Yarrowia lipolytica: one gene and its partners. The protein of the gene in region 1 interacts with the protein of each later gene in a pairwise test. Links are inferred from orthologs where the notes say so. Each region holds a gene or a part of one and is shown in the gene's direction. Other genes may lie near its edges. The genes, in order: YALI1_A05821g, YALI1_B11519g, YALI1_F26915g and YALI1_D08715g.

The links.
Region 2: the proteins of YALI1_A05821g (region 1) and YALI1_B11519g interact in binary tests that used the Saccharomyces cerevisiae proteins (3 or more experiments, as listed by UniProt). The link is inferred for Yarrowia lipolytica from reciprocal best matches to the Saccharomyces cerevisiae genes CSL4 and RRP45.
Region 3: the proteins of YALI1_A05821g (region 1) and YALI1_F26915g interact in binary tests that used the Saccharomyces cerevisiae proteins (3 or more experiments, as listed by UniProt). The link is inferred for Yarrowia lipolytica from reciprocal best matches to the Saccharomyces cerevisiae genes CSL4 and RRP46.
Region 4: the proteins of YALI1_A05821g (region 1) and YALI1_D08715g interact in binary tests that used the Saccharomyces cerevisiae proteins (3 or more experiments, as listed by UniProt). The link is inferred for Yarrowia lipolytica from reciprocal best matches to the Saccharomyces cerevisiae genes CSL4 and SKI6.

Annotation. Positions count from the first base shown.
Region 1 is NC_090770.1:580,386-583,553, forward strand, and holds YALI1_A05821g (uncharacterized protein), read left to right. Parts: upstream 1-1,792; coding exon 1,793-2,650; downstream 2,651-3,168. Other genes in the region: YALI1_A05813g (uncharacterized protein), read left to right, coding at 929-1,297; YALI1_A05836g (uncharacterized protein), read right to left, coding at 3,000-3,168.
Region 2 is NC_090771.1:1,150,534-1,153,942, reverse strand, and holds YALI1_B11519g (uncharacterized protein), read left to right. Parts: upstream 1-1,950; coding exon 1,951-2,850; downstream 2,851-3,409. Other genes in the region: YALI1_B11532g (uncharacterized protein), read right to left, coding at 1-198, 621-726. UniProt on the Saccharomyces cerevisiae protein: Non-catalytic component of the RNA exosome complex which has 3'->5' exoribonuclease activity and participates in a multitude of cellular RNA processing and degradation events.
Region 3 is NC_090775.1:2,690,344-2,693,088, reverse strand, and holds YALI1_F26915g (uncharacterized protein), read left to right. Parts: upstream 1-1,561; coding exon 1,562-2,212; downstream 2,213-2,745. Other genes in the region: YALI1_F26924g (uncharacterized protein), read right to left, coding at 1-642; YALI1_F26873g (uncharacterized protein), read right to left, coding at 2,581-2,745. UniProt on the Saccharomyces cerevisiae protein: Non-catalytic component of the RNA exosome complex which has 3'->5' exoribonuclease activity and participates in a multitude of cellular RNA processing and degradation events.
Region 4 is NC_090773.1:870,187-873,605, reverse strand, and holds YALI1_D08715g (uncharacterized protein), read left to right. Parts: upstream 1-2,023; coding exon 2,024-2,887; downstream 2,888-3,419. Other genes in the region: YALI1_D08734g (uncharacterized protein), read right to left, coding at 1-197. UniProt on the Saccharomyces cerevisiae protein: Non-catalytic component of the RNA exosome complex which has 3'->5' exoribonuclease activity and participates in a multitude of cellular RNA processing and degradation events.

The DNA of each region.
Region 1 (3,168 bases):
TTACTACATGGGAAGATATAAATAACTCCTAAAAGTCGAAGATCGATCATAACTGTTCGGTGGAAAGCACCTTTTCGACGCTTCCGGTTAGTATGAGTTGTTTACTTGCTTTCTAGTTAGTTGGTGTTTAGTTGACCTTTCCAACCAATCTCCCAGTCATTACTCAAACCTCCAACTATCAGCCTTCTACATTATTTGACCAAACAACCTCCCAAAACAAACTCCACGTTCATGTACCTTACGCGTCAGGGATGCGCTTCTCCAACTACACTTGACATCTACATCGACGACATTAATTCGTCATAGCTCCTTCTCAATGCCACCAAAAAAACAACAACAGGTCGTTCCCGACATGGGCGACACCGGTACTCTCAAGCAGCGCAAAGACCGCACCAACAGACTCTAGACGGCGTTCAGACAGGAAGAAGCAGACACAGCAGCTCATTTCCAGCAGTTCAACGAGAAGTTCAAGCGGGAAATTGCCCCTCATCCCCCCGCTCCCCGTTCCCGCATTTAAGCAATAGTGTGCAACTGCTGTGAATCTTCTGGTGCAGAAGCACGCTACACTGATGCCCCGATGACAACCCAAAAGACAGCAGTTTCAACAACCGTGGAACCAGCTGCTGGATAAAGCTGCCGCCACAGCAATTACGGTCTATGTCTTTCCGCGGGACAAGCCCTTTCATTTCAAGAACGCGCTTCAATACAGGTTCGATCGCAGAGAGTTGAAGAATCGCGCCAATATTCTTTATTTCGGCTCAAAAGGTGAGAAGTACCAGTTCTTCGACCTCCAACACAAAGTGATACGCGATCATTTCACCACCACGGCTCAGCCTGTTGCTGTCTCTGATGGCCTCACCTGGTGGTGTTCCCTTTTGTGGATCTGCAACAGCCAGGGATCTTCTTCTCCAGAAGAGACAAGACTGTTATGGTCGCAAATGTGAGTGGTTACGGAGACCTGAACAACCATTTCCGTCAGTGTGAAAAGCCAGGTCTAGGCCGCTTCCTGTTGAGGAACTTCATGGAGGGAGTGTTAGTGATTGATCTTGCCAGCACCACTGCTACCAATGTGTTTACTCCTAAAAAGGATCAGAGGAATCCTGACATCGTTATGGGGTTTGTCGACGACAAGTTTGTGGCCAAGTTCGTTGACAGCAAAACCATGAAGAGATACGAGCAGGAGAAGCTATGGAAGACCAAGACCATAGAAAGTGAGGGGAATAGGTGCCGCGATTATTATGATAGCATGAGGGTGCATGTTTTCTACTCGCAGAAAATATCCTGTCAGCTGGTATGAAAGGCAGGTGGATTGGAGATGGAGGTAATGCAGTTCTTGGTAGTAAAATGCTCTCAACAACCATCTCAATTGCACCAAGGAAGATACGGAAACAAAATCCATATCACAGGTATTACACCCAGGTATTATCACTACTATCCAAATCAATGGCCTAACTATTCCACTTCCCAACTATCTAACTAAACTCAACTATTTATTTACCAAACTAACATAAGCATCAGAAAAAAAACACGCATCAAGTACGCTCATAAGCAGCCAAATGTGACAAAAAATCCATATAAAATATCTCTAAAACACCCGCCTAGACAAATTCCACCATTTGTAATCCCATATCTCCACTATATCTCTCCATATCGCGACCCCTCCCGTTCCACCCGCCTCCAATGACTTCCGGGTAACCCAACCTTAAAAAATTACTACCATGCATAATCATCACAGCATGGCTGAATCGAACATAAACCCCATACAAAAGGACATTTTACAGCACACAAAAACATGATCCCCGGATTCGTTACACCTGGAATTTTAATATCTCTCGTTGTCGACCGAGACGGCAACAAGTTTTACCCCGGAATCGGCACGGCTGTTCGAGTTGTGGAAGGTTCCGAGGCCAAGGTTGCTGGCAAGTCGCAGGCCAAGGCCATTGTCGCCACAGCTACGGGAAAGGTGGTGCTGAGCGAACGACAGGAGAGCGCGGAGCACAACGACAAGTCACGTGATACCAAGGGCTCATGCTACACGGTCAACATTGTGAAGAAGACCAAGGGTGACGATTCATCTTCAACTACACCTACTACATCCCATGTGTCGCCCTCGGCTTCGTCGGGACTGCCCAAGGTTGGCGATTACATTCTTGCACGAGTTTCAAAGCTCACGTCGAAACAGGCCAACGTGGAGATTCTGGTGGTGGAGGGCCAGGGAGGAGTGGGCCAGGACGCGGGTTTGGGACTCAATGGCAACGAGAACGGTATCCACAGCAACCCTCTGTCAAATGCGGGCTCTTTGGTGGAAGGCGCTATTCGATCAGATCTCGGTGAGGGCTTCGGTGGTATCATTCGGTCCATTGATGTGCGAGCCACCGAGCGAGACAAGGTCAAAATGGAGCTGTGTTTCAAGCCCGGTGATATCGTGCGAGCACAGGTCATTTCTCTCGGAGATGGTGCCAACTACTACCTTTCTACAGCCAAGAACGAGCTCGGAGTTCTGTTCGCTCGATCGAAAATCGGAGAGTTGATGTACGCTACCGACTGGCAGACCATGGCCTGTCCTGTGACTGGCCTGACGGAAGAGAGAAAGTGCGCTTCTCCTTATAAGCAGGAGGTCAAGGCTGAGGTCAAAGAGGAGGCCAAGTAGGTATATAGGTATTGCATGTGGTGTATCGTATGGTACACCTTTTTTGATGGAACTGGAGATACTAATCTGTCAGATACAGTATATACTGTACCATTCAATTTAATATATAGAAGGTTCGTTTCTCATGGTTAAGAATGATACCACTAGCCATGCTTGGGGTTTGTCTTTAGGATCCGTGTAACCAGACCCTCTCCGATACGCCTCATGGTACAACTTGAAGTACTGTACTGTACAGTACTCCTTTTTGTCATATCTGTTGCCAGGACGCCTCTTATGCCATCAAACTTGCCCTTCTTGTAGTAGATGGACGGCTTCTTTCCATGATGTCTGATTTTGAGCTCGTGCTTGATCAGTTCCATATCGGAGTCTTCATTGTTGTCTGCGTCAGTGGAGGAAACGTCGCAGTCGGAGGAATATCGCCTACAAATAGAACCACAATCCAGTTCTGCAAGTCCTGCTCCTTGTTCTTCTGGTAGACCAACTCAACGTCGCAGTCAATGTTTGTAAACTTGTGGGGA
Region 2 (3,409 bases), on another chromosome or scaffold:
TGGCCTGGGCACCCTGGATGATGGCCTTCATACCGGAGGCACAGACCTTGTTGACGGTGGTAGCGACAATGGTGTCAGGGAGACCAGCCTTGAGGGCAACCTGTCGAGCAGGGGCCTGTCCGACGCCGGCGGAGAGAACGTTACCGAAGATGATCTCGTCGACCTGGTCGGGCTTGATGTCGGTCTTGGCGAGTGCGGCTGGGTTAGTAATGGGAGCGAGGGACGCAAGTGTCCAAGGCACGGGTGTCACGAGCGGACGACTTGATCACATTGGCTAGCAGATGGGGAGTGACTGCCTATGCCGCGATGAATCATCAACACTAGCGAATTCGCGATCGGTCGATACAAATACACTACAACGACAGCCGCAACATGGCCATTGGGATCAGTCGACCAACGACATCACCAGTGGTCTTGGTCGCGATTGTGCCAAGTAGCACATCTGTCATCTTATCACAGCCATCAGCCGTTTCGGTGAAGTCACAGTATCGTGAAGCAAGTTGAGCAACAGTTGTTCGTCGCGCTGTGTTTGTACTGCTCGTTCGGTGCCGTTCCTGTGTCACTCGTTCGGAGTCACTGTTCAGAGTCGTGTTTCATCATGTGCATCCTGTGGTACTCACCCTTCACGGCATGGGCTCCCAGATCCACGTAGGTCTGGCCGCTCAGCGAGCTCAGAAAAGAACCAATGGGGGTTCGAGCAGTAGAAACAATGTAGACGGGCTCCATCTTGTTGGTGTTGTGTTGGTGAAGAGGATGCGTGTGCAAAGTGAGTTTAACGGTATAAGTATTCGTGGTGTGTGACGTGAGTGAGAGAGAGGGAACACGACGATGATCGGCTTTGTGGTGGGTGAAGCTGTGGTGGGATAAAGACACAAAAGAGACAGAGTCCAGGTATATATAGACGTACCCTCCCCCGCTCCTCCTCTGAATTAAGCCTACATCATCACAGCACAAAGCACACTGCCTCCCCAACAGCTCCAGCAGAATGATGCGATCTCGTTAAAGTTTGAGCCGATGGGAACGAGCTACCCGGAGAAAGCGAGGAGCGACCAGCCTCAGCGACGGCGACGTGTACCAATAGTGTTTGGCTGTTTTTTTTTTTTTTGTTTGTTGGTGGAATAAATGTCGGATCATGGATCAATGAGAGAAAAAAGCGGAACAATTACGAAAAAACAGAAGAATCAAGGAAACACTGCCAAGTAGACGGAATAACCAGGAGAAAATTCGTCAACAAACGGAATAATCAGGTAGGCGGCCGTACCTGTACATCCTTGGAACTCTCAACTACCCTCTACAGGGTAACATCGATTGGTAATAGAATTACTTGCATGGACATTTGATGGACAGCTGTTGAGGTGCGATGACGAGTGTGAATGCGATTTGAACGAACGGAGCGAGCATGAGACACTGTACAGTAATTGTACATGATGAACCCGAAAGGTGTGAGCGTGAGAGTGAGTGTGATACAAGTATGAGTGAGAGTACCTTGTACGGTCTCGTACTATATTCATGTCTACAACCACTCTAGAATCGCTCTTTTCTAATGTTTTTGTGCTTGCTAAGAGTCTCACTAAGCATAGAAAGACCCATGATATCGTACTCTGACCTGTCTCCTTCAACGATACCTACTTATAGTCTGGTCGTTCACTCCGTCTCAGAGGCTCCTTCATTGCTTAAGCTCGAGATCATGAAAAGTTGGAGGCGAGTCCTGGGAGTGAAATTCTTTTTTTTATTTTTATTTTTTATTTTTTATTTATCCTTCTTTTTTTGGAAAGGCCGTTTTTAATCGAGAAAAATCATTATAAATCGAATGAGCCGAAATCGACCCTCAGATGGTATTATCTTGGTATAAATAAAATCGTGATAAACACCAGAAACCAAACGAACTGCCGACTTTCTTGCTGCCCGCATAAACCCAAATATTTTTGTTCACTCCGATCCTCACACACCATGATTTCAATCAACGACAGAAAATTCCTGACGGAGGCGCTCAAGGTCAGCAAGCGACTCGACGGACGCAGCATGGAGGAGCAGCGCCCCATGGAGGTGACATTCGGGTCGCAGTTTGGCCATGTGGAACTCACCATGGGAAAAACCAAGGTGGTGGTTCGTATCTCGGCAGAAATCACAAAGCCGAACGAGCGACGGCCCTTCGAGGGCATCTTTGTCGTGCACACGGATATCGGGTCGATGGCATCCCCGATATTCGAAAACAACCACCAGAGCGAGCAGGAGATCATGATTTCGCAGGTGGTGGAGAAGGCTGTGCGTCGAAGCGGAGCTCTGGATCTCGAGTCCCTGTGTATTGTGGCAGGCAAGAAGTGCTGGGAGATTCGGGCGGACGTGCACTACCTGGACTTTGATGGCGGACTTGTAGACGCCACTTGTGCCGCTGTTATGGCAGGTCTGTACCATTTCAAGAAGCCCGACGTGGATGTGGATGGCGGAGCTGTGACCGTGTGTGACATGGAGGAACGCCATCCCGTGGCTCTGAGTGTGCTTCATCTACCTGTTTCTGTAACCTACGGCCTGTTTGAGCTCAAGAACGACGAGACCAACGAAGTTGAAAAGGTGGAGTGTGTTTTGGACTGCACTGCCATCGAGAGACAGGTTCAGAATGCCGAAATCACAATCACAATCAACAAAAACAGAGACATTTGCCAGATTAGCAAACCCAGTGGAGTGTCGATCGAGGGCTACCGAATAGTCGAGCTGTGTGAAAAGGCATTCCAGGAGGCGCTCAAGGTGACTGAGATGATTGACAAGGCGCTGAAGGAGGACGAGGAGATGCGAAACAAGGGAAATTGGAAGGCCTTGTTGAGTGCTGAGAACGACCGATACGAGAAGTAATCTAAGAGCCCAAGAGTCCAAGAGCACAGTGAAGTGATCATTCCCTGTACCAATCATGGTTTTGGATCTGGTTTTGGATCTGAGAACCAGCGCCTTCATATTGGATACACACCCTCACAGAGAGCATTCCTGACAGAGTGCTGACAATGATAACAAGGATAGGAGCTAGCAAAGGTTACTCCCCCTGCTGGTCTGCTCTACTTGTGCTAGAACGACATCCTCATCTAAAAGATAACTTCTAATAGGTAACGTATAGATAGATGCATTATGGATATTTACGGTAGACGGTGTGAAGCGCGAAGATGTAATTGAAGAATAGGTGCTACTAGCGAGTGTTAAGTGCTATGGGTACAAGCACCAGTTCGAGTGGCCAAAGGTATAGGAACATGCTCCTTGCAGAGTCCCAGTGAAAGGTGGAAGAGAGAGGTCGAGACCGTTTCGAGTGGCAGGGAGTGTGTAGATATAACATCATAGCACCTACAATGTGTTGTAGTAAGAGTTTGCCTGACAAATACTCTTTTGTACACAGTAAAAAGTACAATAAAAGCTCAGCGACTCG
Region 3 (2,745 bases), on another chromosome or scaffold:
GAGAAGGTCGTGATGTTTGTTTGAAAAGGCATCCAATGAATCCTTGACACGTCCATATGATGCAAAAAACAGACCCATGTAGGGTGCGATTGAGATGATGCTGCTGGATACGCCTCTGAAGAATCCCAGGGGCCCTTCCGTCTTGTAGATGAGTTTGAAGGTCTGAAACAGGGACGTGTAGTTTTTCACGTTGCAGTTCTTGGCTCCCTGAGCTGCAAACAGTGTTCTGAACAGATCAAAAGGATACGTGGCGATAGTAGCTCCTGCTCCTGCCGTTGCTCCGGCGATAAAAGACTGAGCACCGGACGAAATCTTCCATTTCTCTGCCGTTTCGTTGTAGGCATTGATCACCTGGTTGACATGGTGGTATGTCACAAACTGGGTAGCTCCATAGAAGACATACAGCAGTTCTGCGGGAATATTTCCCTTCCACAGCGCCGTGACACCCTCGTCACGAACAATCTGTTGCATCGTCTGAAAAATGCCCCGATAATAGCGACTTCCATCTTTTTGCAGTTGTAGTCTGATCTTGACCACGTCCAGAGGAGCTATGCAAAAACGCGACACCATGCCGGCAATGCCGCCACAGAGCATGGACTCCGTTGACGAGATATCCGAGTCGCTGGAAAGGTGGTTGGACATGGGTGGTGAGCAGTAGGTTGGTGTCTTCCTTCTCTTGTTATTGTTTAAATGATTTCAGTTGGCTCTCGTTTCCAGTCCCGTGCACCAAGCTAAAATTAGAGTTTACGACCGGAAAAATTCCACTCAGAAAGAGTCGGCTATTGAAGATAGGTGTGGACTCTTGTATTGTTGGTTTACGTAGATGAAAAAATAATCTGAAAAGGTGATTTTGGTTACCAAACCAGTCTCTTCACAATTACAAACAATTTTTCTCCTTTATACAAAAGCATATTCAGTTACAAGCACTTTGAGCTAACATCACAACCGCATCCTTGCATCATCCCTCTATTGAAAAATACGAGCCTATTCCAGTTAGAAATCAACCAGCCCTTGCTCCAATCGTGCGGCATCGTTAGTCAGGGTTTGGCGGTGGTTGTATAGTGGGGAGCGTGGGTGGAACATTGCTACAGTGAGAACGATATTGTACAATACAGTAGTTACATAATAACACTATCGAGCCACTTACTCAGGAGCCCTTGTCTTTTGTTTTGGAGTCACTATCATTTAGTGCTATAAAATGGTTAATATTGTAACTATTACTTGGACTACAATTGTAGCTACTAATTGTAGTAGGTTGCTACTACCACGGTTCTTGCAGCTGTAGGTACTGGTTTGTACTTGTCATCGCTACCGTTCTCTCTCAGAGCTATCAGTATACACCTACAGACATAAGGACCGGATTAAAAGATTCCAGGGCCCATAAGAACCCACATGAGACAACAAATAATACAACTCACGTGAATAATAGAGGTTTGCCCCGATTCAATTTTCAGACACCACTTAGTCATCATCACCTCTCTGATAAAGTTCATATGCAAGAAATATTTCGAGGATGCCATATTGCCATTAACCATCACCAGCATACAAAAACACACACAAAATGAACATTTTGAACAATGTGGATGGATCTGCCAAATGGGAGCAAGGAACAAGTGTGATTTGCTCGGTCACGGGTCCCATAGAAACTCGGCGACGGACAGATGAACCTACACTAGCTCAGGTGGAGCTGGTGATTCGTCCTGCTATTGGACAGGCCACAACCCGGGAGACACTGATTAAGGATCGAATCTACAGTGTTTTGGCCGCCACAGTGGTGCGAAACTTGTACCCTCGCATGTTGCTTCAGATTGTGATTCAGATTCTTGAACAGGGTGAAGGAACCGGATACAACGTGCTCAAGCTAGCGGCATGTCTGAACGCCATGTGTCTGGCATTGATTGACAGCAGAACGCCCATGACTGGTCTTTTTACAGCAGTCGCCATTGCCATTGTCGACGATAAGCTCATTTTGCATCCCACTCGAAAACAGGTGTCTCAGTCGACGTCTACACATGCTGTTTCGTATTTCGTGGAGAACAACAAGGCCACGGGTCTGTTGATGTGTGAGAGTGAAGGTGAGTTCACCGAGAACCAACTGTTTGAGGTGCTTGAGCAGGCCGCACGTGCATGTGAAGACGTGGCTCTGGATATGAGAGAGCGGATTGAGAAGGGTGTTAAGGAGGGCCTTCGAATTGATGCTGGGCAGGAGTAATGCATCGGTAATTTATACCTATTAATGGATAGACATGAAAAGACACGTAATAATGGGCGGATGACAGGATGTACTGTAGTTTATGACACACTTGAATGATACATAGTAGGGCAGGAGCCTGTAGGATTTCTATAGAAGGATCGACATGTTGAAGTAGGATCAAAGACACGTATAACGAATCCAACGTACAAGTACAAGTATGGATGTACTGTACTTTTTTGGTATCAATCATACAAATACAACAGCTGTCTCTTAGTTACTTCTACAAGTTCATATTAATGCACACACGTATATTTACTCACACTACCTTTACACTCTCATACAATACAATACACATTATTCATTCAGTAGAGATTTACAAGATCCACCTAAGCAGAAAGCTTCTTGAAGTCCTCAACCATGGAGTTGAGACCCTCGATCTCGGCGGTCAGAGCCTCAAATCGCTTGGTGTTAGACTCCTGGACGTCGGCTCGCACCTTGGTCTCGTAGTCCTTAACGGCCATCTGCTTCTCGAGCGAAGCCTTGGACTTCTC
Region 4 (3,419 bases), on another chromosome or scaffold:
AAGCCCAGGAAGCCCTCGTTTCGGAACGTTTGCTTGAAACAGTCCAGCGGACCCTTGAACTGCGGGTTGACGTCACTCTGGGACTGCAGTCGCACCTTGACGGTGTCAAACGGGTACTCAAAAACCTTTCCTGTGGCGCCGGCAACGGAGCCGTAGAGCACGTCCTTGAGCGAGTCTTTGAGAGTGTCAGTGGTCATGGTGAAGTAGTAGTTGGCGAGCTTCTAGAGTAGCTGTAGCTGTAGCTGTAAAAGCCTTGTAGCTAAATGCGGGGGGCGTTGGTTTTGTGGCTGTGGGTTGTGGATCGATAGGTGAAGGACTGGCCGTGGGGGATGTGCGTCTTTATATCCTTTGTGGTTGTGTCACGTTCGTCTTTGGGAGCGTCGTTCTCAGACTGACCGATGATGTGCTTCGTTGAGTGAAAAGAAAGATAAACAGAGCCGAGCAATGAGTCGAGCGATGGGCCAGGCGATCTGTGAACGTGTCGAGTTGGCAAGTGGATCTCGGCTTTATACAACGGTTGATCTGTGTTGGACTTGCCTTGAGTGTGGTGTGATGAGAGATAGGTCGATGACTATGACTCTATGCTACCCGGTGTCTTTGGATGTTACGCCCCAGGTGAGGCGAACCGAATCTCAGTATGAAGAGGAGCTGTGGAAGGGGGACGCCAGTGGGGTCTCCGGGTTCATAGGGTGGTGGGATGAGGGTGTGGGGGAGGAGAAAGAGCTGCTAATGCGAAGAGACTGCAGCAGCAAATGCGATCTGTCTTTTGACCCTGCACTCTGCTAGACTCACCAATAAAATTTCTATTGAACCTTAGTCGACGGAGCTTATCCGGCGGTGGTGGGAAATTGTAGTGAGACATGGCCCGTCAGAGACCCGCCACAAGAGGACCATGGACAGGCCGAACCACCGTCGAGACACACGTCCAAGTGGTGTTTTTCCAACCGGAATCAGCGTGTCCACCAAAAAATCTCCTCCTAGACGGCCCCAACTCCTCCCCACCGCCGTCACTGGTCCTCCCCAGCCGCATCCTTCAACCACCCAGTTTTTCTGAAGCCAAAGTGCTCCCCGAAGCGTAGACCAAAAAAAAAAAAAACTAAAGAAAATTTGAAAATTTAAAAAAAACTAAGCCTATTTTTCAAGCTGTAGGGATCCATGTTGGACCTACAAGTAGGACTGCTGCGATAGACCGATAGACCGTGTGTCTTTCAGCTTCAGGGTTTGTGGCTCAAATGTCCCGAGTTTCCCGAATAGGCAGTCAACACACACGAGTCCTCCCGCGGACCCGGTCCCAAGCCTTGTTTGCAACATGGAAAAAATGTATCAAAAAATTGGGACCAGTGTAAAAAATGGCAACGAAACATGTTGACACACAGCAAAACCGTATACGGCACAAACCGGCAGTGTAAAGCTCCACTTTTGGGTGTAAACACGCGCCTTCTGGACCGGACGGGACCAGATGATGCTGTTGGATTGTTCTCGTGCCAGGTGGAGGAAGTGCCAGTCCTCCCTACCCTACTGTATCGTAGAGAGAGATAGCTCCGCCACCAGACGCTGGACGTGCGATAAGGAAAGACATGCTGCTGCACCGGCCAACGGTGTACATGACAGATGTGAGGGGTGCAGAACGGTGGCATGTGCTGTTGGGGTTGAAGTGGGAATAGCGAGCAAAATGCGTATTGGTGCGGTTCGAACGGGGGGTTTTCTGTTGTAGTGGGCCAGTTCAATTCCTGGCCATGTTGTTCTGCGCACGCCTTAGATTTGCCTTTCTGCATGAAGAAATAAATATCGAAAATCAATACACCAATTGCTACCCAACAGCACATAATGGTGAGTTCGAGGAGGATGTGAGGAGGGAAGGGGGGAGGGAATATGAGGAAAGGCGCAGCCGCCCTAACGCCTCCGACCATCTATGCGTCGTGAAAGAAATCAGATCGATCCTCCCAGGCATTTGCGGACGTTTTTCAAACGACTGTAATCTGACGACTTTGACATCTGACAATTGCTGGTTTTCAGCATCTCAATGTTCGTTTGGGAACTCTCTGACACGTCTGCAAATTGTGATTCATTTTGGATCAGACGCGGGCGCTTAGGATCAGACACAGGCACTTTGGATCAGACACACAGGGCACTTTTGCCTTCATATTCTTCACCACTAACCCAGTCTCGCCACGAAATATACTCCCCCGAAGGTCTGCGAACCGACGGACGACGGTGGAACGAGATCCGGAACTTTGACTGCAAAATCAACACCCACCCGACCTCGGCCGACGGCTCGTCGTACGTCGAGTGGGGCCACACCAAGGTGGTTTGCACCGTGGACGGACCTCGAGAGCCCGACAACCGCCAGAACACCACTGACCGGGCGGTCATCAGTGTCAATGTCAATGTGGCCTCGTTCAGCACAGAGACGCGGATCAAGCGGCAACGCAACGACAAGCGGCTCGCGGAAATGAACATTCTCATTCGCCAGCTGCTGGAGGAGGCGGTGCTGACCAAACTCAACCCCCGAACCCAGATTGCCGTCAATATCACCGTCATTGCCCAGGATGGCGGGCTTCTTCCTGCCTGCATCAACGCCGCCTGCCTGGCCATGATCGATGCCGGCGTGCCTCTCACCGACTATGTGTCTGCCTGTTCTTCCGGCGTCTACTCTAACAACGCTCTGATTGATCTCAACACCCTGGAGGAGCAAGACGTGCCGTTTCTGACGATTGGCGTCATTGGCAAATCTGACAAGATCTCAATGCTGACGCTCGAGACACAGCTGCCCATGGCGTCGCTGGAACCCGTGCTCGCCACCTCGCTGAGCGGGGCACACGCCATCCAGGACATTATGGACGCCGCCGTTAGAAAGCATGGTAAGCATAGACTCGAGAGAAAGTAACATAGCATCAGGGGCGAGGTGTAGAGAGAGGGAGATGAACGACGGAGGGATATCGGATGGTCTTCGATTGGGGCAAATGTCACTGTGGGAATTCGCAAACGGCACGTAAAAGGACTCGCAAAAGGACTCGCAAAAGGACTCGCAAAAAAACTCGCAAAAGGACTCGCAAAAGGGATTTGTCATGGGAACTCGACATGGGAACTCGACATTGAGAACCTCACCAAGGAGAACCTGCCCGTCATGACACTCATCTCTCTAATACGAGTAGACGCGAGCCTCTGAAGAGAATAGCCAATGATAGAACCTCTGTATACATAGATAAGATATTTTTATTACACATTTCAGACGACACCATTTCGGCTGGCTTTTTGAGATACCGTACACGTTCAGATTCTGCCTATGAAGCTGGTTCGAACCAGACTATCGCACCAGTCGGTTCAGCATGCGTTGTTTATTCTGATTGTATCATGATATCCGATCAAAGCCGTTATAAAAAGACAGGTTTGAGCTCTACACATTTCCAACCAGAACG